2 linked regions of the Stegostoma tigrinum genome follow. The protein of the gene in region 1 binds, or shares a complex with, the protein of each later gene. Links are inferred from orthologs where the notes say so. Each region holds a gene or a part of one and is shown in the gene's direction. Other genes may lie near its edges.

The links.
Region 2: cinp (region 1) and afg2b share a complex: the UniProt entries of both Homo sapiens proteins name them as parts of the 55LCC heterohexameric ATPase complex. The link is inferred for Stegostoma tigrinum from reciprocal best matches to the Homo sapiens genes CINP and AFG2B.

Annotation. Positions count from the first base shown.
Region 1 is NC_081363.1:38,564,182-38,579,760, reverse strand, and holds the start of cinp (cyclin-dependent kinase 2-interacting protein), read left to right. Parts: upstream 1-7,908; 5' UTR 7,909-8,054; coding exon 8,055-8,061; intron 8,062-12,930; coding exon 12,931-13,105; intron 13,106-15,579. Other genes in the region: tecpr2 (tectonin beta-propeller repeat-containing protein 2), read right to left, coding at 1,316-1,444, 2,033-2,161, 2,458-2,676. UniProt on the Homo sapiens protein: Component of the DNA replication complex, which interacts with two kinases, CDK2 and CDC7, thereby providing a functional and physical link between CDK2 and CDC7 during firing of the origins of replication.
Region 2 is NC_081386.1:37,031,012-37,047,545, reverse strand, and holds the start of afg2b (spermatogenesis-associated protein 5-like protein 1), read left to right. Parts: upstream 1-10,615; 5' UTR 10,616-10,673; coding exon 10,674-11,738; intron 11,739-12,096; coding exon 12,097-12,282; intron 12,283-12,895; coding exon 12,896-13,054; intron 13,055-13,209; coding exon 13,210-13,419; intron 13,420-13,455; exon of another isoform or gene 13,456-13,798; coding exon 13,799-14,029; intron 14,030-16,534. Other genes in the region: arpin-like, read right to left, coding at 3,483-3,643, 8,381-8,587, 9,214-9,346, 10,070-10,145, 10,235-10,326. UniProt on the Homo sapiens protein: ATP-dependent chaperone part of the 55LCC heterohexameric ATPase complex which is chromatin-associated and promotes replisome proteostasis to maintain replication fork progression and genome stability.

The DNA of each region.
Region 1 (15,579 bases):
TTCTGAAGATGATGACTTAGATTCCCTACAGTGTGGAAACGGGCTCTTTGGCCCAACAAGTCCACACTGACTCTCAAAGGATCCCAACCAGACCCATTCCCTATAACCCACCTAATCTACATATCCCTGAACACTATGGGCAATTTAGGATGGCCAATCCACTGAGCCTGCACATCTTTGGACTGTAGAAGGAAACCAGCGCACCCGGAGGAAACCCAGAAAGACGCAGGGAAAATGTGGAAACTCCATACAGACAGTTGACCAGCAGTGGAATCGAACCCAGGCCCCTGATGCTGTGAGGCAGCAGTGTTAACCTCTGAGCCACCGTACGGCTCAGGTGCTGCACAGCGGCTCAGTGGTTAGCACTGCTGCCTCACAGTGCCAGGGACCCAGGTTCAATTCCACCTGCAGGCGAATGTTTGTGTGGAGTTTGCACATTCTGCCCATATCTGCATGGGTTTCCTGTGGGTGCTCCTGTTTCCTCCCACAGTCCAAAGATGCACAGGTTAGGTGGATTGGCCATGCTAAATTACATATACAGTCCTGTGATGTTTGCGTTGTACATGGGCAAATGCAGAGGTAGGGTAATAAGTCACAGTAGGGTGCTCTTCAGAGGGGCAGTGTGGATTTGTTGGGCCAAATGGCCTGTTTCCACACTGCAGGGATTCTATGAATCTATGAAGATACAGGCTAAAATTACATAGTCCTTAATTGTATTTTGCATCTGTATTGTAGCTTTCAGTCATGTTAAAAATGATACCAAAATATTTTGTCAAGCTACAGTTCGTACCTGTATAAGAACTGATCTCAGTTCTGAAGCAGATAAATACACATTTCCCCTCATAATTTTGCATCCTCACTTAGTCCATCCCTTTGTTATCAGCTGATCTAGTCAATTTACCGTAACGTTTATATTAGTGTCATCATAATTTTCTATTCCTTCCTTCAAGCTATTAATACACACGGTTAAAAATGATGTTCCCCAAGGGGAATGATACACTGGCTAGCCATATCCCTCAAGACCCTTACCATAATCCCAAATTATTCTGGCTAGAAATTCTGAAAGTTGGACGAGGACTGTTCATCTTTAGTGCTCCTTTCTTGCCAATCTGATGAAATCAAATGCTGGTACTTTTAACAACTTTTGTCCATTAAAATAATACTGCCAACACATTTCAAACAAAAAACTTGAAAAAATGTAGTCTGCTTTCAGAACTGTGGTTTCTTAAATAGTTGCATTTGCCATACATTTACAAATCTATAACCCTACTAGATAATCTAGCTATTCACAATATATCATTTTGAGAATCATTACCTGGTCCAAATCCACAGCAGCATAGACTACTTTGCCTTGATCATCCCCAGAGAACAGTTTCATTCCATTAGTGCTCCAAGCTAGTGCTGTAATATTACTTTTGTGAATACAGACATCAAATCGACGCAACTGTGAAGCAAGCATTACAGTAAAAAGTCAAGAAAAACATTAAATTTATCAGTAGCCAAATACAACTGTACTGTTACATTTATGCTTTACAGAATTGCAGAAAATGAATTTGAAAGCTGCAAGACACAATACAGACAACTTTTCACATGGCTCTTATGCAACTGACAGACAAATAAAAAGACTATAATATTTCTAGATCATGGATGAAATAAAAGTCTTTTGAATAATTTATCAGTGCATTTTTAAAATTTCAACACACAATTAGAAATTTGAATTCAACTTAAGACTCATTGTCAACTGAAGAAATTCCAAAGAAGAGTTATATTTGACTCAGAGATAATAAAGTTTTATCTCCACAGATGCTGGTAGACCAGATGAATACTGTAATAAAAAGAGAATGTGTAAGAAGTATCAGTGATGCTGGTAGGAGAAACAGCAGCAGACTGCTTAGATAGCTACAGAAACTGGCAAAATACCTTAAATTAGCTTTGCAGAAAAATGGGACAATCTGCCGGTGCTATTACATCAAAGACCAAAATATTGCTCGAAGTGCAAAAACTAAATCATGCCTCCAGAGCTCTAATTTACCTGCTTGTTTCTTCCAGGCAATGGTGAAACGAGCTGGAAAAGTACTACCCTTCCTGAAGATGTCCCAACAGCAACAAGGTCATCAAAACAAGCCAACAATTTCACCACTCTAATAGTATCAGTTTTACCCTTAATGAGAAAGAAAACTCTTTTAGTAAACAACTATATCACAAGTTTAGCAAAACATATACAAGGCTATTCAATTTAATTTATTTTGATAATGCACTTGAGTATATTTTAGTACTTTCTTGAAACATGTCAGCATCTCAGAAGGATAAATCTAACTTATCACGGGTATTATTCTCAATGCTTTGCAGAAATGGTAAAATAGAAGGATAAAAAGTTAATGTTTATCCTACTTCTCTCCTGGTCCTAAGCTAATTTTGTTCACATAACTACAGCAACAGGCTAATGTTCAAACGTACCTCTAGATTATATTTTGTCATCTTGTTCAGCCGTCTGCAGTAGAGATAAAGCATACCGATATTACTGCCCACTGCAATGTAGTCTTTATTGGCATCAAGTGCTGTGAGATGGACGAGAACATTTCTAAACCCCTTCTGTACTTTTGTTGGGATAGCATTCAGTAGGTAAGATAAGGGACTGAACTCCTTAAATGTGGTGAAGTGCACATCTAATGCCATGGCATCAATAAGACACTGAAAATAAGGAAAAACAAACAAAGGGAAATGTAATTAGAAAATCTCATTAACTACACACAAAATGCAATCTACGCACACCAGAAAAGTTTATATTGGACAGTTAAAGTTCAGACAATAGCAGTTGACTGGTCAGTTATCTCAGTCAAATATCATGTCCAAAATGATGACAAAAAGTTCAAAATTATTTAACTGTTAATGATAGCTTCCATCACATCAATTAACTGCTCTAAGCAGTTACCTTACTATGGACTATTTTGGGACTTGCACATAAGTGTCAATAGTGCGATCCAATACTGTGTAAAACACCTACTGATTCTGTATCATGTTTGGCACATTATAGATAATGAGATTGATAGGTAGTGATAATAGATAATCGCTCGAGCTATAACGTGACAAACTGAAACCTGGAATGGCAGTATGGAGAAACTTATGCCAATAAGAAAATATAAAAGTTAATAACAGGCATATCCAATAGACACATTTAATACACAACACGTTAACTGAATGATTAACATAATAAAAACAGCTTGCTCAATACATACAACAGGTATGTTAATACTAAAAAAAACACCACCATGGGATAAACAGCTCCAGTAAAATATGATCAGAAAAGGTCATTGATTGGATAAAACAGAAATGCAGCATCCTAAAATTGAACTGTGATGTTGTTTTTAAAACATAAAATTTAATGGCAATGTTGTTTGTAAAAACGTTTCAACTTGATGTGCCCGCTCCTAAAACAAGCTCTTGACAGGGTTCATTCTCAACAGCTCTTGGAAGGAAGCAAAGCAGAGAGAAAGAATTAGGATAATTTCACAATAATCTCATTCAGTTTGGAACCAGCAAAAATGCACAAATTAACACAAGGCTTTACTATTGAAAATGCAAGTTAAAGTCCAAGTTCTGACAGCCTCACAAAGTAATAATCTGGCCAGAGCTCCAATTGCTCCCATAGCTGAATGGTGAACTGCTATATCCCTTTTATTACCTTATTCATGTGTTGAAATTCTAATTGCTTTGCAACCTATCCCTTTTAATGACACAGAACATTTATTTTATTCTTCCATAGGAAATAGGCATCACTGGAAAGACCAACATTTGTTATTGATCCCTATCGGTTATCAAGATAGCAGTGAATTTGCTTTCTTGAACTGCTGCAGTCCAAGTGGTGAAGGTACACTCGTGGAGCTATTAGGAAATGAATTCCACACTTCTGACCCAGTGATAGTGAAAGAACAGCAGTACAGTTCCAAGTCAGGACGGTGTGTAACCTGGAGGGGAACATCTGGGTGCTGGTAGTCTCATGTGTCAGCTCCCTTTGTGCCTCCAGGTGGTAGAATGCATGAGCTTAAATGGTGCTGAGAAAGGCGAGATGTAGCACTGCATCTTGCACATGTTTCACAGTGCTTCTATTAAGCATCAGATGTTAAAGGCAATGAATGTTTAGTGTTGAGCTGGTGGATTGGTGACGATCAAGTAGGCTGTTTGGTTTAGGGCAGTGTCGCTCTTCCTGAATGTTGTTGGTGCTGCACTCATCTGGGCAAGCAGACATACACGCTGCTTTCTTGACATTGGATTGGCTTTGCAAGATCAAGAGGTAAATTGCACACTTCACCTCAGAATTCCCAGCCTTGGCTCGTTCTTGAAACCAGTGTATTTAGATATTCCTCCAAAGGGTCACTGCATCTAGGTAATGAATACAACGATGCAGATCCCAAAATCTCAGGTTTGGTTCTTCTAACCTAAAGTGGTCATTCACCCCTACCTGTAGTAAATTCCATCTGTCAACAAGAGAATGATTTGCTTACTCTTACATTCTGTTTACCGCTTGTTAGCCAATCCTTAACTCATGCCAGTATCTATCACATGTGCTTTAATTTGCTTAACAGTCTTCTGTGGGAGACTTCATCGGAAGCTTTCTGAAAATCCAAGCGTACAAAATTCATCAACTCTCCTTTATCAATTTTGTTCGTAACATCCTCAAAAAAGTTTGTCAAATATGATTTCCCATTCAAACGTCCATGCTGACTATGCCCAATCAGATGATTTTTATCCAAGTGTCTATTTATCCCATTCTTTACTATATGGTATTTTCCCTATTACTGATGTAAGAATGGCAGGTCTGTAATTCCCTGTTTTCTCTCTCGCTGCCTTCTTAAAAAATGGGTGACATTCTGCCAGAAACATTTCAGAATCTATCAAAAGCTGGAGGATGATCACTAATATATTCTCTATATCATCAATCATTGCCTTCAGCCCTGTGGGATACAGAATATCAGGTCAAGAGAACTTAACAACTTTCAGTCTTATTCATTTTTCCAGAACAACCTTACTACAAATACCAATTTTCTTCAACTCCTCATTGTCCCGAGTCAGTTGCATTTCTAATGCTGGGAGTTTCTTACACCTTTCTCGATGAAAGCAGACATAAAGTAATTATTTGTCTTCTCAACCATTTCTCCATTCCCCATTATATATGTGCCTGACAGACTAACATTCGCCTCAGCCAAACCTTTCCTCTCTACATACCTGAAGCTTTTACAGACCACTTATGGTTTTTTACAAGATTGCATTCATATTCTATTCTCCTTTTCCTTATGAGTCCTTCCTTGCTATACTCTTAAAAATCTCCCACCCTTACGTTTAGTACTATTTGTGGCAAATTTATAAATCTTTTAATCTTACACAATCCTTAATTTCCTTGTTAGCCAGATTTAAGTTTTTATACTTTGAAGGAATGTATAGTTAATGTAAGGCACGTAATATTTCTTTTAAAGCTATCTACAGCATATGTATAGTCATGCCTGTTAATGTATTTTCCCAATCCCAATGTACTCCATGCCATCATTACTTCCTAATTCAAATTTTACATCCTTGCGTCAGATTGAAGTGCCTCACTTTTAAACATAATACACAATTTTATCATACTGTGGTCTTGCCACTTGTCAGTTCAAATCCGGATATTGGCCAAGTCTTGCTGCATTTAGACATGGATGGCTTCAGTGTCTGAGAAGTTGTGAATGGTACTGAACATCAGGCAAGTGTTGGCAAACCTTTCTATTTCTAATGTTATGATGGGGGGGGAAGGTCATTAATAAGAATGGTTGGGCCAAGGGCATTATCTTGAGTAACCCTTGCAGAGATATCTGGAACTGAGATGATTAACGTCCGACAACCACAACCATCCTCCTTTGCTTGGGTATGACTCCGACTCCCGAATCAAACTGATTCCAGTTGTGCAGAGCTCCTCGATGCCACACTCGGGCTGAAGTGCCACAGCCTTGATGTCAAGGGCAGTCACTTTCGCCTAATGCCTGGAATTTAGTTATTTTGTTCAAGTTTGAACCAAGGCTGTAATGAGATCAGGAGGTGAGTGGCCTTGGCGGAACCCGTACAAGGCATCATTCAGCATGTGAGATAACAAAGTGTGGAGCTGGATGAACACAGCAGACCAAGCAGCTCCTTCGGAGGACAAAAGCTGATGTTTCGGGCCTAGACCCTTCATCAGAAAAGGGTTTTCTGATGAAGGGTCTAGGCCCGAAATGTCAGCTTTTGTGCTCCTAAGATGCTTCTTGGCATGCTATGTTCATCCAGCTCCATACTTTGTTATCTCAGATTCTCCAGCATCTGCAGTTCCCATTATCTCTGATCATTCAGCATGTTATTGCGGAACAAGTGCTGCTTGCAAGAACTATCGATGATATATGGGATGATATATGACTTTACTAATGATTAACAGTAGACTGATGGGGAAGTAATTGGCCACGTTGGATTTGTCCTGTTTTTGTGTACAGAACATATTCGGGTAATTTTCTACATTGTTGGGTAGATGCCAGTGCTGTGGCCACACAGAAATCTTCAGCAACTGCTGGAACTATTGCTGGAATGGTGTCAGGGCCTACAGCCTTTACAGAACCCAGAGCCTTCAGCTATTTCTTGATATGATGTGGAGTGAACTGAATTGGATGAAGTCTGGTATTTGCGATGCTGGGGACCTCTGTGAAAGGATGGAATGGATAAATCACAGCAATTCTGGCTGAAGACTGTTGCAAATACATCAGCCTTATCTTTTGCGCTAATGTGTTGGGCTCCCCCATCATTGAAGATGGGAATATTTGTGGAGTCTCCTCTTCCAGCGATTTGTTTAACTGTACACTATCATTCACAACTGGATGTGGCAGCACTGCAGAGCTTAGATCTGATCTGTTGGTTATGGAATCATTTAGCTCTGTAAGTCACTTGCTGCTTACGTTGTTTGGCACATGAAGGTGACAATTAATTTTTAGGAATCCTCCTGTTTTGTTCATTGAGCAAGGATTGATCCCCTTTCTTGGTGATATTGGAAGCCTGGGATATGTCAGGCCAATGAGGTTAAAAATGTTATTAGCTGCCAAAAAAACTGCCTTGTTATCAGTTGCTTCCAGAACGTTGCATAGTTGTATGTGCTGGAAAAATGTCTAATTTACTTAAGTTTAACAGGTATCATTCAATATAGTTTAAACATTGGAAGGGGGATAGAAATAATTTTAAATGTTTCACACGAAACATTCCGCCACTGTCTAGAATACAATGACTGAACAATCATTTTTAATATTGTAAACCTATTCGATCTCAAGAGCCTTGTCAACACATCAGGAGATCACTACTACCAGAGCCAGAGAATCTATTCTCCTCAGCCGGGCCTGCGACAATGGTCCACCCACCACCCCATGGACCACTTAAGGCCACACTCCTCACGTGTATGTCAGACCCATCCCCACCATCACTTACCACGCTCCAAGTTAGATCCCCTGAGTCTCATACAATTTCTCTCTGCCCAACCGCCATGTTGCTCCCGAGGCCTTTTCCCTCCCCCCCCCCCGCGTCAGAGCCGAGAGTAGCTCCACCAATCAGCACGGACAGGCCATTCCACCAATCAGAATGAACAGTCCGTTCCATCCTTTGGTGCCGTGTGACGGCTTCACCAATCAGAGTAAGGATAGCATTTCACTGGTCAAGGGTGTCCAATTAGAACGGGTAACACGCTCCACCAATCATAATGGCGCTATCCCCCCACTTCGACACAAATATCGTGCCCACTTCACCAATCAGAGAACACTGTCCGCTCCGCCAATCGGAGAACGCAGTCTGCCCAATCAGGGTCTTCGCTAATCAGCGGTGCTACCGCTCCGCCAATCAGAATGCAATCTTCTTCACCAATGAGGGTAAAGCTATCCTGGCCCTTTTGATACACGGGGTACAGTTTGTTACTGTCCCCTAGACGGTTCATCAACGAAACGTTTCACTTGTAGCTTGTCCGTGATCCTGACGTAGTGACTTCGGACAAGTTGTGAAGTGACTTCAGCGCAAATGTGGTAGACATGGACGGTATGGCTTAGTTATTTCGTGTGAAATTTAAGGGTTTTTTTTCCCCTGAATTACTTTCTAAGGCTGATTTGGAAAGATTTAAAATGTGTTGCGTTAATCGCAATCTCAAAAGTTTAGCCTTTAGGGAAAAGCGGCAGCAGACGTTTCAAGGATGGAAAACACGTGAAAACGTGTAAAATGATGCGGCTTCATGGGAAATAAAAATGAATATTACTAAGCTAAGAATTTGTGAGACGCCCTACGGTTACACATTTGTAGAGGTGGCTGTAATGGAGTAAGAGGCCCCAACGTGCATCATAGGAATCTTAACGAACAAAATTGTACATTATTGTACAGTGCATAAGGAATTATTGTTCTTAAGCCGAAGGTAAATCGGAAGAGTAAATTCTGAACTCGACGCCCCCCCCCAAAAAAAATCCATCTTTTATTGACCAAAACGTACTGAACAAGATGCGCAATAACGTGTTTTGGAGTCGGTCAGGACGGAAAGAGGCCCTTCGACCCATCACGCGCCTCTGTATCCTAGTCGCATTTTTCACCCCTTGGCCTGGAGTCTAGTGTGTTAAAACGTTTCGAGTGTTCATCTAAATAGTTCTCAAATGTCTTGCGGATTTCCCATTTTTACCACCTTTTCAGGCAGTAGGTTCCAGGTGCGTTGGGGGGTAGAAAACAGTATCCTCAAATTCCCAATAAACTTTCTGCACCTTTAGTTTGAAAACTGCGCCCTCCAGTTAGTGAAAACTCTACTATGGAAATGTTTCCCTCTATGCACATGAGAATTTTGGAGTACTCAATCAGATTTTCCCCCTCAGCCTTCTTTGCTCTAAGGAAATCAAATCTGACTTTCAAATAAAATTACAGCACAGTAACAGGCCCTTTGGCCCTCCAAGCCTGTGCTGATCCAGATCCTCTATCTACACCTGTTGCCTATTTTCTAAGCATTTGTATCCTTCTGCTCCCTGCCCATTTGTGTATCTATCAAGATACATCTTAAATGATGCTGTTGTGCCTGCCTCTGCCATCTCTGCTGCCAGTGTGTTCCAGGGACCCACCACCCTCTGTGTAAAGAAATTTCCATTTATATCTCCCTTAAACTTTTCCCCCCTCACCTTGAAATTGTGACCTCTAGTAATTGAGTTCCCCCACTCTGGGGAGGTGGGGGAAGCTTCTTGCTCTCCACCCTGTCTTGTCACCCCCTCAACCTCTGCCTTTCTAATGTAAATAATCCCAATCTACTCAACATCTCTTCATAGTTAGCACCCTACGTACCAGGCAACGTCCTGGTGAACCTCCTCTGCACCCACTCCAAAGCATCCACATTCTTTTGGTAATGTGGTGACTAGAACTGTACATAGTATTCCAAATGTGGTCGAACCAAGGTCCTATACAACTGTAACATGGCCTGGCAACTCTTTTACTCAATACCCCGTCCGATGAATGAACGCATGCTGTATGCCTTCTTGACCACTCTATCGACCTGCATAGCAGCCTTCAGAGTACAATGGACCTGAACACCCAGATCTCTCTGTACATCGCTTTTCCCCAGGGCTTTTCTATTTTCCACATAGTTCACTCTTGAATTGGATCTTCCAAAATGCATCGCCTTCAGCAAAGCTAAATGGCTGTAGCCCAGGCAATATCCTGGTGAATCTCTTTTGCATGCTCAAATGTACAATCAAATCCTTCCTGTAGTGTGGAAACTAGCACTGCTCACTGCTCCAGCTGTAACCTAATTAACACTATATTCAGGTCCAGCATAACCTCCTTACTCTTGGCTGCTATACCTTGACGAAGAAAGTATCCCATATGCCTCCTTACTTGCTGCCTTCAAGGATCTATGCACACACTCAGCAAGATTCTTCTGGACTTCCTCGAGTTCTTATTATTCAATATGTATTCTCTTGCTGGTTAATGCACCCAAAATGCATCAACTTGTTTACTTTTTAGGATGAAACTCCAATTTATCTATATTGTCCTGTAGTCCAAGGCTTTCCTCGTTGTCATTGTACTGTGGTAAACCACTGGACACAGGCTTCCAGCCATAGCACAGTGCATCCTTTCATCACCACTCTGTGCTTTGCCAAATTGCCCTGGATCCCATGGAATCTGAGCTTCTTAATGAGTGTCCCATGCTCGAACTTGTCTTAAGCTCTAGTGAAGTCTATTCTGGCTGCATCAACTATATCACCCCCATCCACATACAAGTCACGTCTGTGGAAAAATTTAATCAAGTTTGTTAGTTATGATTTCCCCACTTACAAAGCTATGCCCACTATCCTTGATTAATTCAAGGGGACTTTAATTTTGTGTCTCAATTTTCTTTGCCTATCATTTCCCTACCACAGATGTCAGCCTCTCCTGCCTATAGTTTCCTGGTTTATCCCTACACCCTTCATGAATAATGGTATTAAGATTAGCTGTGCTCCGGCACCTTTTCTGTGGTCGGAAAGAAGTTGAAAATTTTCATGGCCCCTGCTCCCGTGCCTCCCTAAGCAGTCTTGGATACATCTCATCTGGGCCTAGGAAATTTTCTACATTTAAAGCTGCTAAAGCCACTAATATCTTCCCCCTCGATGCTAATTTGGTCAAGTGCGTGCATGGTGCATGGAAAATTGTCTCAGTAACTTGATTGTGTTACTTCAAAAAATTCAGAGGGCAGAGCAGTGGATGTGATCCATTTGGACTTTAGTAAGATGTTCAACAAGGTTCCTCGTGGTAGACAGGTTAGCAAGTTTAGATCACACGGAATACAGGGAAAACTAGCCATTTGGTTCCGAATTGGCGCTCAGATGAAAGAGATGATGGTGGTGGAGGATTGGTTTTCAGACTGGAGGCCTGTGACCTGTGGTGTACCACGAGGATTGGTGCTGGTGAACTGATTTTTGTCATTTATATAAAAATAATTTGGATGTGACTATAGGAGAGATAGTTAGTAAGTTTGCAGATGACACCAAAATGGAATTTGTAGTGGGCAGTGAAGAAAATTACCTCCTGTACAATGGAATTTTGATCAGATGGGCCAATGGGCTGAGGGCTGGCAGATGGAGTTTAATTTAGATAAATGTGAGGTGCTGCATTTTGGAAAGGCAGATCAGAGCAGGATATATACGCAATAGTATGGTCCTGGGGTGTGTTGCTGGACAAAGACACCTTGGAGTGCAGGTTCATAGTTCCTTGAAAGTGAAATCGCAGGTAGATAGGAAAGTGAAGAAGGTATTTGGTATGCTTGCCTTTATTGGTCAGTACATTGAGTATAGGAGTTGGGAGGTCAGGGGCTTTGGTTCAGCCACTTTTGGAGTATCGTGTGCACTTCTGGTCTCCCTGCCGTAGGAAGGATGTTGTGAAACTAGAAAGGGTTCTGAACGTTGTCAGGGTTGGAGGGTTTGAGCAATAGGAGAGGCTGGACAGACCAGTGCTATTTCCCTGCAGTGTCATGGATGGGGTAAATGGGAAAGGTCTTTTCCCTTGGGTGGGGGTGGGGCGGAGGCCAAAACTAAAGGGCATAGGTTTAAGGTGACAGGGGAAAGATTTAAAAAGAACAACTCTTTCACAAGGTGGTGCATGTCTGGAATGAGCTGCCAGAGGAAGTGGTGGAGGCTGGTACAATTACAACATTTAAAAGGCATCTGGATTAAATAAGCAGGCTTAGAGGGATATGGCCCAAATGCTGGCAAATGGGACTAGATTTATAAAGGATATCTGGTCAGCATGGATGACCAAAGGGTCTGTTACAGTGCTGTTTAACCCTGACTGTAAGTAAATCACAGTTCCACCCCCACCTCAATTTCTGGACCTTCATCGTCCTCCTTTATTGTGAATGCAAATGCAAAATACATATTTAGTATTCAGCTATGTCTGTCTCTCTTTGGGCTATACACACATGGTACTACTCTTTGTCTGTTTATTCTTGTGCCCCACTATACATCTTTAGATTTTTCTTAGTTTTATCCACCACTGGTTTTTTGCTCTCCTAATTTCCTATTTAAATGACCCCCTTGCACTTTCTAGACTCAAGTGCACCCGCTCTTTTAAGACTTCAGTATCCTTTACCTTAACGCTTCCTTTTTTCTTGTTGACATCTTCATACACTTCCTGAAGAGGCTGATTAGAAAACACCTAATAGCAGACCAGCATGTGGTGTCCATTGATTATGGTCCAGGTCATAGCTGTGCAGCATGGAAACAAACCCCCATCAACATTATTGCTAACGAAACTAGTCCCATATGCCTGAGCTTTGTTTCACTTAAAACAAAAGATTTCCAAGGGACTGTTGTTGTCTGGTGGTAATATCCCTACCTCTGAGGTGGGTGGTCTGGGTTCGAGTCTGAGCAGGCTGATTAGAAATATCATCATCTGTAAAAAAACATGTCCCAGAGGGGCTTTTGTGCTGCTGTGGTAGTGTCTGTACCTCTGAGGCCTGGGTTCAATCCCCACTCAAAACATGTTTCATATGAATGTACTGGTTTCCTGCACAGCTATGCTGCTTCTGGGGTGCTATCCCTCGAGTAAAAGCCTCTGGTAACAAGCCGGCTACATGTCCCAGTTGTGCAAACAGGACACAATCGTATTGCTTAGATAACAAGGTGTAGAGCTGGATGAACACAGCAGGCCAAGCAGCATCAGAAGAGCAGGAAAGCTGACATTTCTGGCCTAGACCGTTCTTCAGAAACCCTCTGCAGTTCCTACTATCTTTGAAACAATCGTATGCTTAGTCTGTTTTGCGCACACTAGATGCAGGACTATCTCTAATACACTTGAAGTGCCTTGGGACATTAAAAGACCCTCTTATAAATGCAAGTTAATACCTGTAGTTAAGCATTAGATTTTTTCTTAAATAGCTGAAACTTAATACATTTTTTTGTTTACTAGCTCCATGTCCAAGCTCAGGCTTTGTAACTCCAAGAAGACAAGACTTGAACAACAGTGTCAGAAAAATAAAGGATACTGCTGCAGACTGGCATAACTCCATGCTGAAATGGGAAACACTTAATGATGCAGGATTCTCAGTAGCAAATAAAATTGTTAACATTATAATCAACACCAGGTAAGCCTTGCAGAGTAAAGTTTCACATGTTGAAATGTTAGTGAAAAAATTTAATTTTAAAACGTGCCCTCAGTGGTAAATTGATTCAAACTAACTTATCTCAGCTTTCACTCTAATGCTTCTGTTCAAGCTGTTGTGCTTTTAAAGGGATCATTATTACACTGCTACAGTCTTTTCGAAACAAGAAATAACACAATAATAATTTCAGTATCAGAGATAATGGGAACTGCAGATGCTGGAGATTCCAAGATAATAAAATGTGAGGCTGGATGAACACAGCAGGCCAAGCAGCATCTCAGGAGCACAAAAGCTGACGTTTCGGGCCTAGACCCTTCATCAGAGAGGGGGATGGGGGGAGGGAACTGGAATAAATAGGGAGAGAGGGGGAGGTGGACCGAAGATGGAGAGTAAAGAAGATAGGTGGAGAGAGTGTAGGTGGGGAGGTAGGGAGGGGATAGGTCAGTCCAGGGAAGACGGACAGGTCAAGGAGGTGGGATGAGGTTAGTAGGTAGCTGGGGGTGCGGCTTGGGGTGGGAGGAAGGGATGGGTGAGAGGAAGAACCGGTTAGGGAGGCAGAGACAGGTTGGACTGGTTTTGGGATGCAGTGGGTTGGGGGGAAGAGCTGGGCTGGTTGTGTGGTGCAGTGGGGGGAGGGGATGAACTGGGCTGGTTTAGGGATGCAGTAGGGGAAGGGGAGATTTTGAAACTGGTGAAGTCCACATTGATACCATATGGCTGCAGGGTTCCCAGGCGGAATATGAGTTGCTGTTCCTGCAACCTTCGGGTGGCATCATTGTGGCAGTGCAGGAGGCCCATGATGGACATGTCATCAAGAGAATGGGAGGGGGAGTGGAAATGGTTTGCGACTGGGAGGTGCAGTTGTTTGTTGCGAACTGAGCGGAGGTGTTCTGCAAAGCGGTCCCCAAGCCTCCGCTTGGTTTCCCCAATGTAGAGGAAGCCGCACCGGGTACAGTGGATGCAGTATACCACATTGGCAGATGTGCAGGTGAACCTCTGCTTAATGTGGAATGTCATCTTGGGGCCTGGGATGGGGGTGAGGGAGGAGGTGTGGGGACAAGTGTAGCATTTCCTGCGGTTGCAGGGGAAGGTGCCGGGTGTGGTGGGGTTGGAGGGCAGTGTGGAGCGAACAAGGGAGTCACGGAGAGAGTGGTCTCTCCGGAAAGCAGACAGGGGAGGGGATGGAAAAATGTCTTGGGTGGTGGGGTCGGATTGTAAATGGCGGAAGTGTCAGAGGATAATGCGTTGTATCCGGAGGTTGGTAGGGTGGTGTGTGAGAACGAGGGGGATCCTCTTGGGGCGGTTGTGGCGGGGGCGGGGTGTGAGGGATGTGTCGCGGGAAATGCGGGAGACGCGGTCAAGGGCGTTCTCGATCACCGTGGGGGGAAAGTTGCGGTCCTTAAAGAACTTGGACATCTGGGATGTGCGGGAGTGGAATGTCTTATCGTGGGAGCAGATGCGGCGGAGGCAGAGGAATTGGGAATAGGGGATGGAATTTTTGCAGGAGGGTGGGTGGGAGGAGGTGTATTCTAGGTAGCTGTGGGAGTCGGTGGGCTTGAAATGGACATCAGTTACAAGCTGGTTGCCTGAGATGGACACTGAGAGGTCCAGCAAGGTGAGGGATGTGCTGGAGATGGCCCAGGTGAACTGAAGGTTGGGGTGGAAGGTGTTGGTGAAGTGGATGAACTGTTCGAGCTCCTCTGGGGAGCAAGAGGCGGCGCCGATACAGTCATCAATGTACCGGAGGAAGAGGTGGGGTTTGGGGCCTGTGTAGGGGTCTTCCTGTAGGAAGAGGGACTGTTCCACGTAACCTACAAAGAGGCAGGCATAGCTGGGGCCCATGCGGGTGACAAGTGTAGCATTTCCTGCGGTTGCAGGGGAAGGTGCCGGGTGTGGTGGGGTTGGAGGGCAGTGTGGAGCGAACAAGGGAGTCACGGAGAGAGTGGTCTCTCCGGAAAGCAGACAGGGGAGGGGATGGCCCCAAGATGACATTCCACATTAAGCAGAGGTTCACCTGCACATCTGCCAATGTGGTATACTGCATCCACTGTACCCGGTGCGGCTTCCTCTACATTGGGGAAACCAAGCGGAGGCTTGGGGACCGCTTTGCAGAACACCTCCGCTCAGTTCGCAACAAACAACTGCACCTCCCAGTCGCAAACCATTTCCACTCCCCCTCCCATTCTCTTGATGACATGTCCATCATGGGCCTCCTGCACTGCCACAATGATGCCACCCGAAGGTTGCAGGAACAGCAACTCATATTCCGCCTGGGAACCCTGCAGCCATATGGTATCAATGTGGACTTCACCAGTTTCAAAATCTCCCCTTCCCCTACTGCATCCCTAAACCAGCCCAGTTCATCCCCTCCCCCCACTGCACCACACAACCAGCCCAGCTCTTCCCCCCCCCACCCACCCACTGCATCCCAAAACCAGTCCAACCTGTCTCTGCCT
Region 2 (16,534 bases), on another chromosome or scaffold:
AGGTCAAGAGTTATAGCTGGGGGAAAGGCAATTATGAGGTGATTAGGCAGACTTAGGATGCATAGGATGGGGAAGGAAATTGCAGGGGCTGGGCACAATTGAAATGTGGAGCTTGTTCAAGGAACAGCTACTGCGTGTCCTTGATGAGTATGTACCGGTCAGGCAGGGAGGAAGTGGTCAAGTGAGGGAACCGTGGTTTATTAAAGAAGTTGAATCTCTTGTCAAGAGGAAGGAGGAGGCTTATGTAAAGATGAGGCGTGATCTTCAGGAAATTTTAACTGTTAACAAGTTCTGCTAAATTGCATCTGGAAACAGGTAAAGCATCTCAGCAATGAAGCTGGGAGAAATTATTTTGTTACATTTATCAGTAATCTTAACTTCACACCTCAATCCCTCTGGTAATCATTGACCACAGTTTACACAAAGTGATAATATGCTGGAACTAAACCTAGTCAGAACGAACCAATGAAAGCATGTTTCAAATACAAGTATTTAAAACGAGGTAGCCAGGAAAGGATATCCACCTGGTGTTCAAAATTTGACCAGTCAAAATCAAAGGTTTATGTTGATATAAATTGACTCTCAGCCCGATACATCATCGTGTGGAGGTGCTGCTGTTGGAGTGGTGTTGACAAATTCAGAAATTGCACAAAACCAGCTTATAATCCCACAGGTTTATGTGAAATCACAAGCTTTCATAGCACTGCTCCTTCATGTGGTAACGACACTGCTGACTTCAATACATCATCAGCTGGAAAGTACATCCAGTGTTTTGTTTTCCCAAGAAGTTTATTTTGTAATTTTGTCCTGGTTATCTTGTCTCTTGCGGCGGCACGGTTGCTCAGTGGTTAGCACTGCAGCCTCACAGCACCAGGGAACCAGGTTCGATTCCAACCTCAGGCAACTGTCTGTGTGGAGTTTGCACATTCTCCCCATGTCTGCGTGGTTTCCTCCGGGTGCTCTGGTTTCGTCCCACAGTCCAAAGATGTGCAGGCTAGATGGATTGGCCAGGCTAAATTAGCTGGTGTTCAGGGGTGTGTGGGTTATAGGGGGATGGGTCTGGGTGGGATGCTTCAAGGGGCGGTGTGGACTTGTTGGGCCTAAGGGCCTGTTTCCACACTGTAGGGAATCTAGGCTACTCTCAAAGAACACATACAGTCCATTCTCTTACTTCAAGTACTCAAAATATACAGGTGTAAACCTTGGTTGACTTCGTCAAAACATTCATGAACCGGCTGGTCAATCGTAAGAACATCAAATCATCTCACTATGACACAACACATTGACAAGGTTTAGTGACAAGTATATCAATCTCCTAATCAGTTCAGAACATATTGCCAACTTACACTTCACAATAAAATACTTCTGGGGCCGAAGGAAAAAGTCAGGAATAACACCAGGTTTGGGAGAAGAATCAGGAGGTAAATTACAGTCTGACCATTCAGGATAGGTTTACAGGAAGCTTTTAATAACATAATGGAATGTTGTCAGAGAGGAATAATGTGAGATGCTCAGGATTGCTGCAGAGACTATAAATGTAACAACCTTTCCAACCATTTTGATCCTTGCTCCGTCTTCACTGCATGAACCACGGATAACAATACAGATGGAGGGTATGTTGGATGGTGATTCGAGCATATAAAACAGACCATTATTGATCCAAGATTAATGTGGAGTCACAGGACATGTAGCTGTAATGGTTCACTCAGTAATCCAGTCGAAGTAAAGATGGCTTTGGATTCCTCCTTCACGAGCTAACTCTGAAAACACTGTGGGATCCAGCCATCCAACCTGAATAAAGTACTTTGTCTGACACCTTCTGGTGTTCCAAACCAGCCGAGGTCCTAAGGGAATCACAAGGCATCTCTGGTCTCAATAAAATTACTTCAAGGATTATTTTAAACGAGAAGTAAACCAAGGCCTTTGCAGATATAATATATAATTATTTTTCACAGTCCTCTGGTTAACTTTGTGATGCTGAACAAAACAAAGATATTGAAGCTTAAAGTTAGAGAAGATTTGTAGCTCAGGTTGTGGATGAGGTTGTTGACTCGCTGAGTTGGTGGGTTTGATTGCAAACGTTTCATCACCCTGCTGGGTAATATCATCAGTGCACCTCAGTGAAGTGTTGGTGTTCTGTCCCATTTGTTATTTATATGCCCCGGTTTGCTGGGATGGTTGGTATTATTTCCGGTTTGGTATTTTGTACATTACATCGGTTTTAGGTATGAGATCTCTTACATTCGTCAGTAGCTGTTGCGGGCTACTCTGATACCTAGGGGTCCGAGTAGTCTTGTGGTCACCTCTAATGTCCTTGATGTATGGGAGGTTGATTCATGAGTCTGGTCATGTTGTGTCTTCCTGTTGTGGTCTGTCTCGGAGTTAACGGTGGATTGTGCTTTTCGTTTGTCCATTCCTTTTGAAGACTGTGTATAAGTTCCCCTGTTCTACTTTGCATAGTTCTGGGTTGCTACAATGTGTTGTGGCTCGTTTAAGTAGTGTCCTGATGCAGCTCCGTTTGTGGGTGTTGGGGTGGTTGCTAGATAAATTTATGTTTAGGTTTTATTGTCAGTAAAGTTTTGTTCCAAATTTTAAAATTAAGAGCTGAATGAAAAACAGCTTGATCTCTGATTCCGTTCAATAATCTCCAGAATAACTGCCATTTGTTGGTTTTGATGACTTTCTGGAGTGTCAATCATCCTGGAGGGGGAAAAAAATTAAAATGAAAATATTAAACGAGATCATTCATTAAAAAAATGGAAATAGAAAATACTGGAAACACAGGGTTAGTGCAGCTAATAGTCAAGCTTATATTCACAATTCAGCCTTCAGATGAACTGGAAGATAAAATAACTCCTTTTAGGGGCTGTACAAAAGGGAAAGACATAAAAGCTAAGAATCAGAAATATGTCTCTGATCAGAGAATCTACCCATGAATTGGATTCTAAAACACTTCCACTGATCACAAATAGATTCTGTTGAGAAATTGTTCATGGCTAATATCAGACCAGCTGCCTGTTACCCATAGCACCGCGCATCTAATTTTATCCACTAACTAGCAAGTCCTGCATATCACAGCCTGTTCTGTTCTGCACCACTGCTGGCATGACATTCACCATCAAATTTCCAAACAATTATAAATCATATTTATAATTAATCTGAATTTTAAAAGATTGCTTACAAGTGCTTTCAAACACATTTTTACAAACTGTCACAAACAAATTGTAACATGACAGTTAAGCTGTATCCTGAGACCAACTTCTATCTTTATTTTTGTAAAAATGGTTATTAATGATAACTAACTCCTGGGTGTAATTTAATATTTAATCTGTCAGCTGTTCATGCTGATTTAATGCATTTGCCATTTTGTAGACACTGGACTATCAGTACCTGAACAGTACGACTAGAGCAAAGCATCTCTAATGATCAGATAAATCTGCCAATAAGGAGTAAGTGAAGGGAACACTCCATCCAGGTCTTACCCATTCATCCTCATCAGCACCTTCTCCTTGGGTAGCTTTGGTCTCTTGCTCAGTTTTGTGCTTTGCAGCAAATACATTGTCAGTCCAAGAAGCTCCAACCTTTTCGCCTCCTGCGAAGTTGCATTTAGTCACAGTTCCAGCATCCATTTTGGCCAGTGAAACTAAAAAAAATTACATTCTTACAGTAAAGGCTAGTGATATTTTTAAACCAGTCAGACTTAGTCAAGCTTGGCATATGGACAGGTTGTTCACTTAAATTCACACTGAGTGACCCACTGTTGGAGGGTACAAGACTTAATTACTGTGAAATCTTGACTAAAGTTGTATACTTGCTACAGTCCGTCACGGCTCAGTCGGTGGTGTAAGGGGCCACACATTTTCCTGTTTAGATTGTAAACTAGAATAGAAATCAGACACTATCAAGCTAAAATACGTGAATTTTGCAACTTGTAACATCAATTGGTACAGATCTTTAGCTATACATGGCAATGTTGATTTTGTAGTAGTGAGATCATTACATTTTGAAACAAAGCAATACTGGGAAGTTTTGAATTAGGGAAATGCTCCCTGATAATATCCCTCAGATTGGTCAGGCCATTGTATGGTTCAGATTTGAGGGCAGTACAGCCAGATATATCCAGAACTGGAAATCAAAAAAAACCTCCCTCTCCCACCCACCTCCGCTGTGAAAAGGGGAAAAAAAAAATCTAGAGGCTCAAAAGAAAAAATTCTAATATAGCAAACATTTTATTAAGAGCACCTATGGGACCAGGAGTGTGCAGATTGATCTAGAGGTCTGCATAATTAATGTGAAAAGACAGGGGGTATACACAACACTGTTCTACTTTACTTACAACATAAACCACTTTAATAATAAGGGAACTTTGCATTAAATAAAAAGTACCAACTGACAGCCTTCTCACTCATGCTCAACTGACTTCTCAGACATTGCAGCAGATCATGATAATATAGTAAACTCCATTTAAGGTATATAATGTTTAGAGTGTGCCAGTTCATAAATTAGTTTGGAAAGGTATTCATAGAGGATCTGCAGATTGGAACCTCCAAACAAACATCACATCATTGGATATATTCGACCATGGATATTATTGTCCTTTGAATCCCAGAGCAGGACTCTAATGCCGTCGTGGCGTAGGCTGGTGTATCCTGGAGTGGGAAAGTGGCAGTGGAGAAGGAAAAGTTGGACTGTCGTCAAGTTAGTAAAATGTGAGGCTGGATGATGAAGGGTCTAGGCCCGAAACGTCAGCTTTTGTGCTCCTGAGATGCTGCTTGGCCTGCTGTGTTCATCCAGCCTCACATTTTATTATCCTGTCGTCAAGTTATCTTTCTTTCAATTTATTTTATTTTAAGTTAAATGAGAACGGTGTTGATTCATGGTGACAGTGTAAAACTTTTCACTGTGTTATATTGAATACATGTGACAATAAATGATTCACTAAGTAAAACCTTCAACAAACTCAAAGAGCTAGAACCCCACAACACAGAGCTAGACCCTATACACTCCACTGTGAAGGAAAACCCGAAGTGAGGTAATCCAGCTCAACGGACACCAGAGTTTTAAAACCAGGCAGGAAAACACAACAGCGCTTCATCGGAGGCTGCACTGATGATGTTACCCAGCAGGGTAATGAAACATCTGCGGAACAACAAACCAGATCAGCAAGCCAACCAATCTCAGCAGGATAGTATAATGTAGGGTAGTTTGATCTCAGAGTAGGGTAACAAGTTGGCATAACATTGTGGGCTTAAGGGCCTGTACTGTTCCATGTTCTCATATGGACGGGTTATGTCAGGTCAAAGAGGTGGGGAATGAAAGGGATGTTTGGACATGGGAATGAGACGGGGGTGGGGAGATCTTAAAATTGGTGAATTCTATGTTAAGGCCATTGGGCTGAGGCAGAATATGAGGTGTTGTACGTTAAGTCCACCCATGGACTGTTTTCACAATAACCAATTCATTGTGGTCTCCATCAGCAGCTTTTCTTTTCCCCCCCCAATTCCCCATTATCCATTCCTTTCTCAGCCCAATGCTTTTCTCTGCCCTGGGCTCTATTTCCTCCTTCCCCTCCTCCCACGTCCTATCTCAGCACATATACCAATCTTATTCTAGCTACAATAGCTAGTTCTGAAGAAGGGCCACTGGACCCGAAATGTTGAGGTTGATTTCTCTCCACTGATGCTCCAGACCAATAATTCCTGTTTTATTTCAGATTTCGAGCATTCACAGTTCTTTGTTCTTTTATACTGGTGAATCTGCTCTACACTCCTTCCAATGAAATCCTATCCTTATAGAGTGGTGACCAGACATGCACAGTATACTCCAGCTGTGGTCTCATCAAAATAGAGTACAGCAGCAAAAAAATCTCCCTACTCTTATAATTTACACCAAGGCCAAGTTGTAATGTGTCCCATATGCCTTCTGAACCATCCTATTAACCTGTCCTGCTGCCTTTAGGAAACTATGGACAAGCAACCCAAGATCCTATGATCCTCAGCTTCCTAGCGTCCTGCCATTCATTGATTACTCCTTTCTTCCAAATGTCACATCTTATTTTTCAAAGTTAAATTTCATTTACACTGATCTGCCCAATCTGTTCATGTCTACCTGCAATCCAAGATTCTTTCCTCACTGTCAGCCAGTGAAACTTTGCATAACAGAGCCACACTGCAAATAGACCCTTCGGTCCAACTAGTCTATGCTAACCATTTTCCCCAAATTAAGCAAGTCCCACTTGCCTGTCTTTGAACCATATCCCTCCAATGTTTCCTATTCATGTATTTCTCCAAATGTCTTTCAAATATCATAACTGTACCCACATCCACCACTTCCTCTGACACTTCATTCCACATATGAACCAGTGTAAAAAAACTGCCCCATTAGAACTTTCTCCTCTCACCTTGAAAATATGTCCCCTATTTTTGAACACCCCCTATCCTAGGCAAAAATCCTTCCTGTTAACCGTTTCTATGTCCCTCATGATTTTATAAATCTCTACAAGGTCACCCCTCAACAACCTACACTCCAGTAAAAACTTATTTTCAACACCTCACCCCACTCTCATCTACTGTTTATATAGATCATGAACAATAAGGGGCCCAGCACTGATCCCTGTGGACACCTGCCTCGAGTCACACAAACAGCCTTCTGTCACTTCTCTCTCTCTCTAATCACTAAACCAAATTTGGATCCAAATTGCCAAGTTACCCTGGATTCCATGTGCTTTTACTTTTTCTTTAAAAAAAAGTCAGTTGCCCACTTGGAACCCTGTTAATATCTTTGCTGAAATCCATACAAACTACATCAACTACGAGACACTCATCTAACACTTGGAAAAATTCTATCAAATTTGTTAGGCACAACCTCCCTCTGACAAAGCCATGTTGAATATTCCTGATCAAACCTTGCCTTCTTAATCACTTAAATGCATCTGCATAGTAACTTTTAATAGTACATGTCCCAGCTCACAGGTTCCACTGGGCTTCAGAGTTCTGCAATCTCTCGCTATTTAAAATAATGCTCCTTTTCCAATCTTAGTGATAAACGGACAAATTCACAATTTTTCATATTTTAGTCCATCTAAAAATATTGCACACTTAACAGTCTATAAAAGGATATAGGCTGGTTAATATCCACTTGACAATTTTTGTTTTTTTTCTCAAACTCCTATTCTATTATACCTGCCATCTCCCAGGGGAGGTAGTAGTGTAGTGTATGGTCACAGGGCTGATAGTCTAATGTCCTTGTGGGCATGGGTACAAATCCCACTATGTCAGATGATGAGATGTGTGCAATAACAATATAAACAGCTAGGCAAATGGCAGACATTTAACTATTGTCAATTATCATTACAAAGCCCTGTGGTTCACTAATGGCAATGTCATTACCCAGTCTGATCAGCAAACGCACTGTGGTTGACTCTTAAGTTACCCTTCAGCAACTGAGGATGGGAAATAGCTACAAATAGCAGAGCTACTAATTGAGGGGTGATAGATTTAAGACAGATGTCAGAAGCAGGTTCTTTACTTAGAGTGGTAAGGGCATGGAACGCCCTGCCTGCCAATGTAGTTAACTCAGCCACATTAGGGGCATTTAAACAGTCCTTGGATAAGCAGATGGATAATGATGGGATCGTGTAGGGGGAGGGGCTTAGTTCACAGGTCGGTGCAACATCGAGGGCCGAAGGGCCTGTTCTGCGCTGTATTGTTCTATGTTCTAAATAAATGTTGGCCTAGTTCATGAATTAATAAAATAAAACTTATTCAAGACTGTTCCGGTATTCCACTATCAGCCATTATTGATTCCACAATCTTGCCCTTTAAAAGGGCTCACTTTGGTTATACTTTTCATTTTTAAATACTTAAAAGCACCTTATAGTTTTGGTTAAATTTTTGGAATGTTTTCTCTCTAATTTCTCTTTTGCTGATTTCTAAATCTGTCCAGATCTCAGTTCCATACCAATGATACATCCTTCCTGGTGGACTGTTGGAGTATATTTTTAGTGAGGTATGAAAAATTTCAAAAATATATTGCACTGTCCTATCTTTTAAACCATTTTTCCCCAATATTCTGTTTATGTAATTGCCTTGATTCAACTTCAAGGCACTAGATTTTATTAAGAGAGAGTGTGTATACACATGCTTGGGGAAGAGAGAGAGTGGATGTGTCAGATTGAGGGGCTGGGTGAGTAGAATCCCACTATGTACAGATTGCCTTGTTTCTCATTTTCCAACTGTGATGATCAACCATCAGCAATGAAAAATTTGGGGATTCAGACTTGATGGAAACTCTTGCTTCTCGTTTGGTAAGAAATTACAGCTGCAAAAACAGTGAATCTCAGTAAAAATCAATTGTTCCAGGATGTAACATTCAAACTTACAAATAAAAGGACTGTCCCCCAAGGTTTTCAGTCGTAAACAATCTTCAACCTCCAGCTCAATGTCTTCCACCTCTCCCTCTGAGATCCAGAATGCCAAGCTCTGATTGGGGGTGTGTTTCTCTGAGATTTTAATAAGCTCTGGTTTATTAATTAATCGCTTCAGATCTTCAACCAAAATTTTGTCTGTCTGTCCCGCTGCTTCCACCTCTACCGGATGATGTAAAACATGAAAACACAAGGTTAAGGAGCAGGCCTGAGAGCCCATGGCATTAGGTGCTTGACAATTTTCACCTGCTTTTTAATGAGGCTATTCTCGCAGCAATTTTCACTCACTAAGGTTTTACCACTTATGTTTTCAGTCATTTTTCTTTGACACAGACTAAGTCTAAACAGGAAGAAACTCAAATGTTCAGTACTTACCCAAAACTGACGTGCCTGTATGGATCATTTATAATAGGTGGAATGACTTTGAATATGTAATTATTTTTGTTCTCTACAGAAACAAAATGGGATCTCCCACTGCCCCACACCAAAGCTGGTAACATTATCAACACTAATTTCCAGAAAATTTCAATCTCCACATCCTCCTTACTTACACACATGAACAAGAGGAAGCTGTTCAGCCGCTCTTGGCTGTTAGACAGGACCAGTAGAGACCATTCAGCTACTTGAAAGAATTATACACAAATAGGAGGCCATTCACCTTCCCAAATCTAGGAACAGGAACCATTCAACCCTTGAGGCTGTTGTACAAAGTAGGCTATTCACCCTACCAAATCTATTTCAATTTTCAATATGGTCATAGCTACTCAAATTTGGCTTCATATACTCACTGAAGGAAGACATCAAATAGCCAGTGTTGACCTTTTTAGTTTCACTGAAATTTGGTTCAATCTCCACACCAGCAGAATCAAACTTTCTTTTATGGATCCTTGTTGGTTGAATATAAAGAATGAAATAACGATGCTGAAAAGCATAAAGAGTTTTTTTTAAATCTAGACATTTTTGTTCATTAAACCAAGTAGAGCAGTGAATTCTACATAGTTTCCAGTTGTGGCAAAGGATCGTCGGTTACAAACAGAATACTCAGTTTCTGCGAAACTTTGTAAACTTGAGGAAAAAACCAAAAGAACTGTGGATGTCTGTAAATGCAGGAAAACTTCTGCATCCTTGTACTCCAATTCTCTGGATATAAAAGCCATCAATTTTCTACACAAGAGGGTAGATAACTTACAGAGAGAGATACTTCAGGTCAATGACCTTTCATCAGTCCATAGCGTATATAGCAAGTTTTCAAGGACACTTTATCAGGGCTCTGTTGAAAACACAAATACCTGTTTATCATTGGAGCATCATGGATTCGCCCTCCTTGACCTGGTATGGGATTTGAACCTGAAGCTTTTAGTTAGGAGGCAGGTTGCTATACAAATCAGTGCCACATGACCTTCCCAGTATTTCTTTTAACGAAAAGGACTGTGGAGACTGTAAATCCAGCAACTCCTGTTTTTGTTGTGTTTGTAAATTTGAGATTTAATTTCACTTCCGGAGACTCAGGACAAACACTAACACCACGCTCCCGGCTCCCGCCCCGACCGACCGACCACGCCCCACTCTGCTCGTCACAGCCCGGCCTCCAGCAGCAGCACGCACCCCCCCGGGGCCCTCCCGAAACATCATGCCGTCCCTTACCGTGCTCTTTCCGCTCTCGATGATTTGATGGCGGCTGACGGCCCGCAATCTTCCCTCCAGCACCACCCCAGGGCCGCTGCAAACAAAGCGGAGCCGTTACCCCCTTTCAGACCACCCGCTGCCCGCCTCCAATCTCTTTGCAGCTCCCCCGCTACCAGCACTCACCGCTGCAGCTCAGCCGGTTCCCAGCGCCCCGACACCGGCTCCGGGATGACCGGCCTGTTCGCTAACGCTTTATCATCATATATTCTGCTCATAGCGGCTTGTTAGGACCGAAACAGATGACCCAGCGCTTCCGGGATCAGGGCAGGGACCTGCGGACAGATCCCGGTGGAGAGTGGGTGGGTCCACATGCTCAGGGGCGGTGTCTTCTGTGTCAGTGGGCGGAGACACATGCTCAGGGGCGGTGTCTTCTGTGTCAGTGGGCGGAGACATGCTCAGGGGCGGTGTCTTCTGTGTCAGTGGGCGGAGACACATGCTCAGGGGCGGTGTCTTCTGTGTCAGTGGGCGGAGACATGCTCAGGGGCGGTGTCTTCTGTGTCAGTGGGCGGAGACATGCTCAGGGGCGGTGTCCCTGGTGCTAGTGGGCGGAGCTCTGTCGGTAATGGCCGAGCTGCTCCTGCTCCCTGCTGACTTTGGGGACCGGGATTCGCAGCGCTGCCGTCTTGGGCCACGGGTCTTAACCGCTCTGGGCCTCAGCCTGGGTGCACCACTGCGGGTCTGTTTACCGGGAGGCTCAGCTCTGTGCTCTGCTTGGCCACGGGCGGACCGGGCCGAGGGCTTCTTGCAGCTCGACTGCAAATGCGTGAGTCCGGGGCTGTTAGAGAGACCTTGCCGGGGCCTGAGCTTGGGCCTCGGGCACCTAGAGCCCCTCTCCTGTGTTAAACTGAGGCGGGTCCGGGTGCGGGCTGTTCAGTCACATGGACCCGGGCCCGGGCCGGTGGTGGCACAGCTGCTGCTGAAGGAGCTGCTGAGGGGGTTGTTCCTCTGCCCGGGGTTTGTGGTTACGGTAGAGCCGGAGGCCGCGGCCTGGCCTGGGTTGTTCCTGCTGGATGTGGCCGCAGTAGAGCCGGAGCTGTGTCCCGGCAGCGTTGGCGTCCTGGGCCCCGGGACCCAGCTGGAGGTGGCGGAGCGGCTGAACCTGGAGCAGTTCCGAGCCCGAGGAAGGGGCCTGGACCTGGGCAGCCTGCAGCTGTCTGCTGCCCCGCTCCAGGAGATGCTGAACCTTCCGCTTCGTTTCCCGCGGGCCCTGAACCGCCTCGGTCTGCCGTGCCCCCGGGGTTTACTGTTACTTGGGCCTCCGGGGGTGGGGAAAACGGCGCTGCTGCGCGCCGTGTCCCAGGATTTGGCCGCTCCACTGATCCTCGCCTCCCCCGCTACCCTCCGGGGCTCCCGGCCGGGGGAGAGCGAGCAGAGGCTGCGCTGTCTCTTCGCCCAGGCCGAAGCCCAGGCTCGGGCCGGGCCCTGCATCGTCTTCATCGACGACATTGAGTCGCTGTTCCCCCGGAGGGCGGCGGCTGGGAGCCGGCCTGAGGACCGCCTGGTGGCCCAGCTCCTTACTCTGATGGATGGCCTGGAGCCTCGCACTCGCCTTGTCGTGGTAGCCGCCAGCAGCAGCCCCGAAGCCTTGGAACCCGCATTGAGGCGACCCGGCCGCTTTGACCGAGAGGTGCCTGCCTTCCTGAATCGGCCAGTAGTCAGGGTTTGGGAGACAGAGATCCTGGTTTGAGGGAAGAATGGTAGACACCAGGGCAGGGCAGGGCAGAGACGAACCCCTAGGCCAGAGAGAGAGGTACCCGCGGGGTAGGGGTGAGGGAGGAGAGAGACTGGGGGTTTGGGTGGGGGGCAGAGAGACAGATTAAGGATGAGGAAGGCTGAGAGAGTCAGACCTGACGTGGAGAAGTGAAACACTTCCAGGAGCACAAAGTCAGATGTAGGCGATTTTTATGCAACTAAATCCTTAATGGGCGATTTTTATAATTTACTGAATCTGAAAGACTGAGTCTGCCTTTTAACTGCCTTTACAGGTTGTAATCGGGGTTCCAACGACGTCGCAGCGCCGATCCATTCTGGAAGTAGTCACCTCATCAATGCCTCTTGGGGCTGATGTTGATCTGTCCTGGCTGGCAGAAGCTACAAGTGGTTACGTTGGTGCTGATCTGACAGCCCTTTGTCGAGAGGCTGCTCTGCAGGTTGTGAGGCGCAGCTCTCAGGTACTAAAAAGAGCAAAAGAAGCAAGGCCGTGGGGTGTGTTAACCGTGCTGCCCAGGGCATGTGAGGCCTGGAGTGGTGGCTCATAGAATTTATTTGTGCTATTCAAAAACTTACACTAGCTGAGTATAAACCATGTTCAGTCAGTCGCAGAACTAGCCACTAAAAAACAAAAGAACTGTGGATGCTGTAAATCAGGAACAAAAACGGGAGTTGCTGGAAAAGCTCAGCAGGTCTGGCAGCATCTTTGAAGGAGAAAACAGTTAACATTTTGGGTCCAGTGACCCTTCCTGTGAAGGTTCTGAGAAAGGGTCACCAGACCCCAAACATTAACTCTGTTTTCTCCTCCACAGATGCTGCCAGACCTGCTGAGCTGTTCCAGAACTAGCCACGTTCTCAATTAACCTAAAAGTCAGAGTCATAGTTGTACAGCAGGACACCTGGGAGTGCTGAAGACAGTTGTACTCCTGTGAGTTGAGGCCAGATCAGTGTCTGCATGGAGACTCTTCATAGGCGTGCTTTGTTTTTTAATTTTTGCATTAATCAGACAGACTTTAGGAATTATTCTCCTATTTCAAATTTCTCTTTGTAATTATTGACTCTGATTTCTTTAAGGACGCAATGAGCAAGAAAATCACCTTTGCAGACTTCTGTGAAGCAATGAAGATTGTGCAGCCTTCCTGTCTGAGAAGCAGCATCGGGCTTACTGGCTTCAAACCTGTCCATTGGGATCAAATTGGTGGCCTGGAACAAGTCAAACTGAAATTGAGACAGGTGACGAATGTAGCTGTGGTTTAAAGACACAGGTGGCTGTTGTGACCCAAGCCCCTCCCATCTCAGAATTCGCTGTCGCCCACTCCCAGCTGTCTGCTCTAATGGATGAGGCAGATCTTGAATGCAGTCTGTAATTGTTAGCATTCTCTCTGCAGAGTATTGAGTGGCCAATGCTATACCCGCAGGCATTTGAGAGGATGGGGGTGACCCCCACTCGTGGAATTCTGCTGTATGGACCCCCAGGGTGTGCAAAGACCACGCTGGTGAAAGCTGCAGCCTCCAGCTGCCGCTGTCCTTTCCTGTCGATCAGTGGGGCAGATCTCTTTTCACCGTTTGTAGGGGATTCTGAAAAGATTCTGGCTCAGGTGTGTATTTACAACAGGTTCACTCCAGACCGTGTACAGCAAGTTTAATAGTAACCTTATTTAAAGATGTACACTAGCCAAAGTACTTCAGTAAAGCAAAGCCCATGTGTTTTATCACCAACCCTGTACAGATCTATTTCCCTTGTTCTGAGCAATTCAGTTATGTCTATAGTTGTCATGCAGTGAACATCACAAAATACCATTTTCTTTGATAATTCAGATTTTTCTGAAGCCTGTGAGCACTCCCATCTTTAACACTCTAGCGTTAATTATCAAAGCTGAACAAAATAAATCTTGGTGATAGTTGGTTATATTAGTTCTGTTTGCTGTCTGCCCCCCTCCCCCAGCACATTGACATTCTGTTCTGTTTAAAGTACAGGTTTTTCAGCAAGCTCGAGCTGTAGCTCCATCCATCCTGTTCCTGGATGAAATTGATTCCATCCTTGGATCACGTTCACTTGATGAAGCAAGTTGCCGTTCTGTTAAAGAGCGGGTACTCTCTGTTCTTCTTAATGAGATGGATGGAATTGGGCAGCCACTGATTGGGAGGAGACACGCAGAAAGGAAAGTACCTGCATCTGAAGGAAATCAAATGGAACAGACAAAAAAGGTATAAGATTAAACCGACCAAAATTTAATGTGCTGGTGCTGGATGATTTCAGTGGAGTGAGGCGGGGGAGGGGATTTGTTTCGATAAGATCATCTCAGTTATGTTAAACTGACTATAGGAGTAACCTAACACCTCTCCTCAACAGACTCTGTATACCTGAAATCAACCCAGTGAGTGTACCCTGGACTGTCTCCAGTACCAGTATATCTTTCATTGATAATAGAATCAAAACTATTCGCAGTATTTCAGGTGATGTCTAACTGGTATCTTGTATAGTTGTAGCAAGGCTTCCCTATTTTATTGTTCCGTTCCCTTTTAAATTAAGGCCAGTATTCCATATGCCTTCCCTATTAGCCACTGAACCTGGATGCTTGATTTTTGTGATTCATGTATGAAGATGCCAAATCACTTATGTAGTCTCTCTCCATTTAAATAATTTGCAGTTATCCTATTCCTTCTGCTAAAGTGCGCTACCTCAGATTTTATTCCAAGTGCTTAGTTTTTGTCCATTTGCTTAACCTGTTTATATCCATCCAACACCCTTGGCCTCAAACTAGTGTGCAGTAAGGTTAGAAATCTTTTGAGAGACAATAAACATCAGCCTTTGGAGAGAACATTTCAAAGAACTGTTGAAGTATCATACACTCAGCAATGAGGTTGTTAAATTCTGATGAAGGGTCTAGGCCCGAAACATCAGCTTTTGTTCTCCTAAGATGCTGCTTGGCCTGCTGTGTTCATCCAGCTTCACACTTTATCTTGGATTCTCCAGCACCTGCAGTTCCCATTATCTCAGGATGTTAAATTAGTTTTGTGCGAGTTAGGTTTTTTTTATTGTCACATCTAGGGCAATTTAGTGAAAAGTGTTTTGTCTCCACAATCCGGTGCGATTTTTGAGACATAAAAGAATGAGAAGAAAGTACTTAAAAAGAATTCACCTGCATTGACTGGGGTCCCAAACATGGCTGTAGTACCCTACTCCGGACTGACTGCAGGCAGGAGTCTCCAATCTGCCAATTCCAGGAATCCATGCATCGGGCCCACAAAGCCAGGAGTCCCTGCTTCAGTCAGACTGCTCCAGCATCACCATGACATCAGGGAGGTGAAGAAAAGAATGTGGCCAGCCTGGAGCGGATGGGCCTATTGTGCCGCAGCTGCCATTTTGAATAGCTGGGACAACTCTTCCCCCTCCATGCTGCAGAGCCCGCTGTCCTCTCCCCAGCATCAAGGCAACAGTTCAGTTCGGGCACCTAGTGATGACAGTCTTCAATGATCATGACATCTGTGCTGTTACTAAGACTCTTGTGTATTAGGCAGCCATCTTTCTGACTCTTCTGTGTGGTTCTGAAACATGGGCTATGTATAAATACCACCTCAAGGCCCTTGAGGTCCTACTAATGCTGTTTTGAAGCCGATTCTCCACATCAGCTGCGAGGACAAGTGTGCTAACAACATACAGCCAAATAGCATAAGCATTGGGGTCAAACTGATGTTGCTGGGCTGGCTACAAGTTTAAGTCCCAACTACCCAAGTAGATCATCTTTTCCTCATTCAAGGAAAACACCAGAACAAGAGGGGCACAATGGAAGCATCTCAACGAGTCCTTGAAGGCTTTTATTCCCCAAGAAATGCAACATTGATGTCTGCGGATGGGAAACCCACAGTCAGAAGAAATGGACTTGGACAAAGTTCCTGTATGAAGGGTCATAATTTTTTTTTTGATAGCATCAGTTTTCTGGAAAATGAACCAGAGAAAGTAATGCCCGGAACCAATTCTGCCTACCAGAAGACCTGCCAGATGTGTGAGTAATGCAGCTCAAGGTTTGAGCTCGTCAGCCATAGAAGAACCCATTGAGCCAGAGACACACAATTTGCTGGGTTGATGATCATACTCTTTAACGAGTGACTATTCATAACAACTATATCCCTCTGCAATCTCCCATTGTGTCATCATCATCATTACTTGCCTTTCCCACCTTTTTGTGAGATATACAAATCTACCAATGATTCATACACACTTGTCATTGGTATCATTTGTATATTGTTTGTTAGTCCAGTTCTGAATTATGGTGACGAATTAAACAACTCACTGGAGGCGGCAGTTCCACAGATACCCTCTCCTCAATGATGGGACATTCCAGCATACCATTGCAAAAGATAATATTGAAGAAATTGTGATGACCCATCAGTGCTGTTGGTTCACTGTTAATGCAGTGACAGTAGATATGACAGCTGCACAAAACTATCATGAATTGAGAATTAATGAGCTCAATACTTACACTCTGGGAAATGTCAACAATGTTTGGAGATACTTTCCTTGAGCTAAGTTTCAGTTGTATAGCTGAGTGTAAAACCAGTTTCAGACATCACTGAATCAGTATAGAAATGAATAAGATAGACCGATAGCTTGGAAAAAATCAATTTTGAAACTTTTAACCAAACTGTAAAAAAGGAAGGATTGGAGTAATAGAATAATACAATACTGAAGGGACCATTCTGCCTGTTGCA